2 linked regions of the Caenorhabditis elegans genome follow. The protein of the gene in region 1 interacts with the protein of each later gene in a pairwise test. Each region holds a gene or a part of one and is shown on either strand. Other genes may lie near its edges.

Region 1 (3,924 bases):
TGATGTTTGGTTATAAAACTATTCACAACATTTTAAAGTTACATATATATGCCGGATTATCAAAATTCTGAATTATTGTTACGTAGTTTTTCACTTTAAGCACTACAAAACACTGTTTTGCTTATCAACCTGGAAGTCTCTAGGCAGCGTCGAGTCTAGGCGTCATCTGGTGATGATGATGTACAAATTATTATAACACACATCAATGCAGAGCATCAAATGTGATACGCAACAAGTTTTTGCGCAAGTTTTAGTGCCCCTGACGTTCCAGCAGCCACGGGGGTAGAGGGCTATTCGTGGCGTTGCGCAACTGAAAATCAAACCACGGTAACTCGACATCCAACGTAATTTGCAATTATGCGAACATACTCAAAACTATACATATTACTGGGGAAATGTCGGATGGGCAAAGTAAAAATTTTGTAAGAGAAATTTTAGAAACATTTAATTATTAGTATAAAAATTCAAAACTCATAGTATCAGAAAATGACAGAGATATCGGTGACCAATTAGAATGTTAAGAACAGAAACTAAAACAGAAACCTCTAAATCATAAAACGTCTACAGAAAATACAGGATATTTTGGTTTTCTTCGATTGGTCACATTAACGGAACGGTTGTCGTAAATCTTGTGGAAATTATAGAGGGACTCGTTTAATAATCACCTATGCTATTGTAGCCTTTAACAATCGATCGATTGCCGGAAATCCAAAACTTGTGCGTTCATGACATTGTATACACGCCAAACAAGAAAAACTTTGAGAGAAGTTCAATTGATTCACTTGAAAAGGCGCGGATATTTTTAAGCAAACATTTGACGACGAAAATGGGCATTTAAGTGGATGAATCAGGTCAGTGATACCGACTCAAATACTACTACGCGTTTCTGTCATTTCAAATGTGAAAATAAATGTTCTTATTGGGCGCAAAAATTTAATTTTTTTTTGCATATTTGAAGAAAAGTGTCTAAGGGTACTTTCTACATTCTTCACAAAATCAATGTTGTTAATTTTTGCTTCTTTTGATCATTCGAACCAGATTTGATATAATTGAGAATGTTCGGATTGTCAAATCACTATTGTCCTTTCTTTCTTCCTTTCTAACTCTAGTATTTTACGGTCAGCGTAACAGAGCAGCCGACTGGGATGGGGCAATGCGTTCGTTCGTACACCAGAGGCTAACCAGTATGTAGTGTGCATGGTCAACACATACATGCCTCGTTTGTTTGAACCGAGGTGTACAATAGAGCGCATTTAATTGAACTGTCTCCCATTAGGAAAAAATCAGCAATTGGACTAATCAAACTTGTACTAATGCAACTTTTAAAATTGATGAATTAAATAAAAATTTCAGAGGATGAAAATTTGAAAAGAATCTTCTATGGTCTATTAGTTTTGGTAGTTTTCGATTTCGAGGAATTTTAGATTTAAAAGGGAAATTAAAAAATTACTCAAAAAATACACTTTCTGAGAACGACCAAATATGAACTGGGATCCGGGCAAAGCAACAGTATACTGAACTATGAAGCAAAAACCTATCAAGCGAAAAATAAATAAAATAGTTCTGAAAAGTGACAGAAACCAATTGTGCGGAAATTTGTGAAACGTATTCGAAATTCGTTTGAGAAAATTTTTAGGATAGCAAACTTGTCACGTTTTTTGAAACTTTTCTCTCGTGATTTTAAAATACGTTTTATAATTTTCAGCACATTTTTTCAAAAGTATCTAATATCAACTTTTGAAAACATTTAAAAGAACTCACCTTCCCCACAGCATCTCGTCAGTTGTAGCTTCCGAAGGTCCAGTGGATTCAGTCGTGTCCTGATAGCTTTCCGACTCGGAGCCTGAGAAGTCGTCGTCGTCCGACACTGACGATACTGGAAAAAATCAGATATATAGTCATAATAACAATAGCAAACATCTGGAGCATTCAGGTTTGCAACAAAGCAACTTACTCGATGATTGATCGTCATACTCGTCTGCATCCTCGTCTGACATCTTGTCAATGCTGTACTGCTGGACTCCGGCCGTTTTATATTTGTGTAGATTGAGCTTGATTCTTCGATTTTGACTTTCCATCTGAGTGAAACTATACTAATTGGAACAGCAATAGAAGGAGAATTGAGAGAGAAAAATGATTCATAAACGGCAACGAAGGAGAAAACGTTGTGTCATTTTAGGCTAGGGTTATACGGCTCAGCATAGAAACTAATCCATCTTATGTTATTGATTGACTGAAACACTATTTTATGTATGAGGAAATTTTACTTGTTCCGAAAAAGAATAAAAACAAACAATTTATTCTAAAACACTAAGAACTATAATACTTCAATTTTGTAGATTTCAAATGAAGTTAGCTATAAAAAACTTAATAGAAAAGTACCGTCTTTAAAAAAAGTTGAGTTAAATTTATCAAAATGTATGGCCTTTAACAGAAAAAAGAATTAATTACGAGAAAGTGCAAAATATGGATAACCAAATTAATTTTAAATAAATTTACCAGCCGTTGGAAAAGAGAAAACTTCGAAAAGCCCCAAGATTTTAGTCAGGAAATCATAGCTTTTTTTGAAATTCAGAACAATAAATTGTTTTCTAGTTTTAAAAAATATTATAAAATCGAATGTACTCTTTTAATGAAACAAAAAATATCCGGAACAAAAAACCATTTCCGAAAGAAATCCATGTAGTAAGGCAGAACTAAATAGCAAATGACCCGCAAGTTTATGAGATCAAATACAAGTGAAGGTGAAGGAAAGGAAGTTACAAGGAGTAGTTGACAAAATTTATGGTGCGAACAACCGCTACTCCGTTTGTCGGTGTCGATAGGTGGTTGCGTAATATTTAGGTTACAAATCGAAACCATAAAATCTTTACTGACAACATCTAGAGTTTACATTCTTAGAGACAGAAAAAATAGAAAAAAAAAGACTGAACTTATAACATTCGACTCACTGCCAGATGGTTTCAATGAAAAATATGGCCGAAAGTTTTAGATTTTTTGGTGATTTAGTGGTTGGGAAAAACGCAGAACTTTGCAGACGGAATATAAGTAATTTTGTATGATAATCTAATTGTCTAGGCTTACTGATAAGGAACCATTATGTTTTTTACTTGTAGATAATATGTGATTAATACTGTGCCAGATAACGTTCTACAGAACTACTTGTTTAGCGCATTCCCTAACCTAGACACCCAGTGAAACGTGACTAATAAGTTTTCAACTCTCGATTACTAGTTTTTCTGGCCTTGATCAGATGACGGAAATCCAATTATGGAAAATCAATAGTCCGTAAATAAACACACCTTAATGATAAGTAAATTTTACTAGTGACTCACTTGCAGATGAGGTCAATTTTATAACGAACAAAATTACATACGAAAAAACTAGTTTGAAACCTTGAAAAGCTAAGAAATTAGATAAAATAGCTTTTCAAATTTGAATGATGAGCGTTCCCGCCGGTGAACAATTCAAACGTGAGTAGAGAGAAGAGACACAGAACGGCGAGTGTTCGTCTGTGTCTTCCTTCTTTCCTGGCTGTCTCCTCTGACCGGCAATTGAGGAGAGGGGACCCATTTAGCGTTTGTATGTGTGTATGTGCGTCTTTCCCCCCTCAACACCTGCCATCGTGACCCACGATCGCGGACGCGATATTTATGGCCTTGGCAAATAGCTTGGAGACTTTCCTTTACTGTTGATTCAACTTTATTGATACTTCTTCAATTGTCTGACACCATCAGTCAAATTTAAGACAAATGAAAGACTGTTCAGGCAACTAAGCTACGATGAGCATTATTGAAAAAAAAAACAAATTGAAAATCAAGAAAGGGGATGTGGCCTAGTGACATGATATGGATAATTGTCAACAGAGCAACAGATGAAGTTTAAAAAAAACGTGGGGGAGAAGAGAATTTTGGAATAGTAATT
Region 2 (3,924 bases), on another chromosome or scaffold:
TCTCGAGGACAACACAACAAGAAGGAATATTAGGAAGAGATAGATGTAAAAATGAGGTCCAAATGGATTGATGTAATATCGACTCTCAATTACATGATGGAACAACGATCGGCTGGGTCCGATGGATCCGATGATTCGCTGAATTCAACGGTGATAGAAGAAACAGTGTCTCCTTCACTATCCTCAAGACGAGCTGATGGGTTATCTCCAATTGGCCACTGAAAATTGTAATTACAATGAACATTTTTTGTTTCTTCTATTCATGAAAGTAAGACAGAAATATTTTAAAATAATTGACCAACCTGTTGCTTCTTCATAACGTAGACTTCTGGTGGGTGGTGAACGGCACCAGCATCCGCAGACCAAACGGTGGCGCTAGCATGTGGAGCGAGCTTCATACGAGATGAAAATTGGAAGGAGGCTTCTTTGTTTCCAGCTTTGACCACCAACTTGTATCCTCCGATGGATTGTTCTTCTTCAGAGTTGTTTGCAACACGGACCCACTTTCCTTCCTCATCAACCTCGTCGATTCCAACTGGGCCAACAGTCTCTTTGTTGAGTTTGGAGCGACGGTTGAGATAATCAATGTCTTGGTCCTCTCCATTTACATCGACAACGCGACGACGCTTCACTCCGCGCTGAGCGCTTGCTCCTCCGGATGAAAACGAGACGTGATGAACTGAAGTGTTTTGTGGCGCCTCCTGAGTAAGATTGAGACGCTCCTCCTCACCCTCAAGGAGAGCTTGGTAGGTCTTGAGTTCGGCGTCCAATTGGATTTTAACATCAAGAAGATCGTGGAACTCGCTCATCATGCGCTCGATCTCTTGATTAAGTTCAGCAATTCGAGCATCCTTGTCGTCGAGCTTCTCTTGGAACGATCTCTTCAGAGTGTCGAGCTCTGAACGAAGACGTTCGATGAGCGAAGCATTTCCACTGCTTGATGTCTCCAAGTCACGAACACGGGCACGAAGATGGATTGCTTCGGATACAGCCTCCTCTTGGCGTTCACGAGCAGCATTGAGCTTGTTTTTGTAGGCATCTTCGAAAGCTGTTTTGTTTTGATGCAAATTGTTCTTGAACTGAGCACGCATCTCTTCGATTTGATCTTGAAGCTTAGATTGATACTCATCATTAATCTGCTTGGCGTAGGTTGTCATGTCGACCTGTCTCTTGTGACGAACTTCTTCAAGTTCTCCCTTGTGCTGTTGAAGAGCAAAAGCGAGATCTTCTTCCAGAGCCTTGATTTTATTGTTGGCGGCTGTTCGGAGAAGAGTTTCATCTTCAACGGCTTTCTTGAGTCCTTCTACGGTGTCACGAAGAGTGATGTTCTGCTTTTTGAGATCCTGAAAACAACAAAATTGAACATTTACTTTTGATAAAATTAAAATTTCTTACATCATTCTCCACCACCAATTTATCGTTGCGTGCCTGCAACGTCTTCTGTTTTGCTTGACTTTGATCAGCAATAGATTGGGCATGGAGGGCTTGTTCCTCAGCTCCAGCGAGTTCTCTCTCAAGTTTTTCGACTTGTGGCTTCAACTTCTTTACTTCAACCTTTGCAGCGTCATACTCGATCCTGTATTTTGCGAGCTCATCTTGAGCCGAATCGAGGGCACGACGGAGACGAGCCTGAAAATACAAATAATCTATATTCCAACACTTATCATTCGTCCAAAACGAGAGCTTATATTTGCATTGTTACTTTACCGCGGCGAGAATAATAAGACCACCGCATCAGTTTCCCACAGAACACCTTTGGCGATCAGAATATAAACAAAGTGTACCTTTTCCGCCTCGAAGCGATCGGCCAAGTTTGACTTCTCTTTCTTTTCAACAACTTCGATGTCGCGAATTTGAACCTGGAGTCTGTTGTTCTCTTGCTCCAATTGACGAACTTTCTGAAAAGTGTACTTTCAAATATGAATACTTTCCAAATTAAAACTCACGTCGATGTAAGTGGCAAGACGACTGTTGAGTGAAGTCAAATGATCTTTCTCTTGAAGACGTGAAGTTTCTAGAAGCGTTGAGCCACTGAAAAGCATTTCATCGAGTTTTTTTTTAGATAACACAAGAAATGCGTTTATGAGTGCAGGAACTAGAGAAGCAAAATAAAAACTCACAATGAATCGTCGCCTCCTCCATTGTTGCTTAGCGACGAATTCGCTGAGCGCTCTAGCGTAACAATACGAGAACTACGAGTACCTTTACGAGATGACATTTTTCTCGCTGCTTTCTGAAGAGTTAATTATATTGGATTTAGTTTCAGAAATAGACAAAGAGAGATGTAAGAGAAGAGAGGAAACGTCATAGGCGCCACACGAACGTGACTCAACATTTTGATATTTCTTGTGATAAAATTTTTATACAACAAAAGTTTTCTGTCTCAAAAGAAGTGTGGCAAACATGCGGACACGGCCGTTGTGTATACCACTTCGGAAAGCGTGTGTTTGTCGAAAAATCTGGCGCTGTTAGGTTATTTGCGAGTTACGGCGCGCCAAGTGACCTCAAAATCGGCAGATGGCAGTATTCCACATAGATGTGTGTTGTTTCGTTTTTTAAATGTTTCAACAGAAAGAAATATAGTAGAGAAATAAGGAACATTTGTGAGAGTGACGTAAACAAAAGCATAAACATAGTCAGTAAGTAGCGTTGAATTCAAACATTAGGCAACTCGGCAAAGAACTACAATTGTCAAGGTATACTCAACTAAGATTTACCTCGTTTCAATAGTTTTTTGAAACTCTCGTGAATAAGAATGCTTTAGCAGGGCGTTATCACCTCGCCTTCAAAAATCATCTGCGCACTTCCACAAATTGCCGATAGAACTAGGCAGATGGGACTGAAATGATTAGAGAAAAAGAGAGAAAAGGGAATTTCTCGCATACTTGTTTGGTTTTGATTGACCGTCCATGTCGCGTCAATTTGAAAGTAACAAAATTTCGAAAATTTAGGGAGAATTTCGAAATTCGATCAATCAAAACTTTCGGACTACTACAAAAGAGAAATGACCTGATAAACTATAAGATAGGATATCAAATTACACAAATTAGTGTAAAAAAGTTGCATGAGAGGTGATATGTAGGAGTTTCGAGGGTTCAAAAACGATGAAAAACGCTCGATCTTGTTTCGAAGGGCAATGGCCCAGGCCAATGCTCTCTCTTTAGTCGCGCGAGTGAGCGCTGCGTACCCCTTCATCTCTGATCTCTCCCGTTTCGCGCACTATTTTCAAGTTTTTCTTTCGTTTTTTATGCTCACGGTCCCAATGACTAGAGAAGTAGAGAAGCAGGAAAGACGTGTGCATATGGTAAACAACATACATATACACAACTTGGCAACATGCCAGTACAGGGTTAAATAGAACGAATAATGGAGAGGCATGATGAGAGTATTAGAGAAGTGGTCAAACATCTGAAATTTTGAGGTTTTGCCGCTTTTTTATATGGATAGTGTAAATTTTGAAACTCGGCGATTAACAATAAACATGTACCATTGAAAGACATATTCAGAGCCAGATGAAGGAAGCGAGAAATCATAAGCAGTCTTGTGTGAGAGAAGACAATGTCGTTCTTCTTTGGTGTTTGACACAGAATGAATGAATTCTAGAGAAGGAGGCTGAGAAGAGAAGGAAACAACATCTGGAAAGAGCACTAGAGCGTCGACGCACAGAGACAAAGGGCAATAAATCAATGGGAGAGTGTCATTTTGGCGCGTTGACAGTTTTTATCTCATTTGATGTGACCATGTGGTAGAATATTAGTATAGCACGAAAATTAGAAGCTAAATTTCTATTATGAAGGCGAGATTAGCCGCGAGAGAGAAGTTTGGTGAAATGAAAAGAATACGAAATGAAAGAGTAGGAAAACAATTTTCTCTAGACACCTGCATCTCTAAAACACATTTGATCCCTAAAAAGATTGAAATGAA

Evidence for each region.
Region 2: the proteins of rgs-7 (region 1) and lmn-1 interact in a two-hybrid assay, tested with the Caenorhabditis elegans proteins (2 studies listed by BioGRID).

The regions. Positions count from the first base shown.
Region 1 is NC_003284.9:3,540,704-3,544,627, reverse strand, and holds the start of rgs-7 (C2 domain-containing protein), read right to left. Parts: upstream 2,081-3,924; 5' UTR 1,998-2,080; coding exon 1,955-1,997; intron 1,877-1,954; coding exon 1,762-1,876; intron 1-1,761. UniProt on the Caenorhabditis elegans protein: Inhibits signal transduction by increasing the GTPase activity of G protein alpha subunit egl-30 (G-alpha(q)), thereby driving it into its inactive GDP-bound form.
Region 2 is NC_003279.8:8,761,350-8,765,273, reverse strand, and holds the start of lmn-1 (Lamin-1), read right to left. Parts: upstream 2,234-3,924; 5' UTR 2,219-2,233; coding exon 2,121-2,218; intron 2,032-2,120; coding exon 1,947-2,031; intron 1,899-1,946; coding exon 1,785-1,898; intron 1,630-1,784; coding exon 1,396-1,629; intron 1,344-1,395; coding exon 303-1,343; intron 219-302; coding exon 90-218; 3' UTR 1-89. UniProt on the Caenorhabditis elegans protein: Major component of the nuclear lamina, a fibrous layer on the nucleoplasmic side of the inner nuclear membrane. Provides a framework for the nuclear envelope and probably also interacts with chromatin.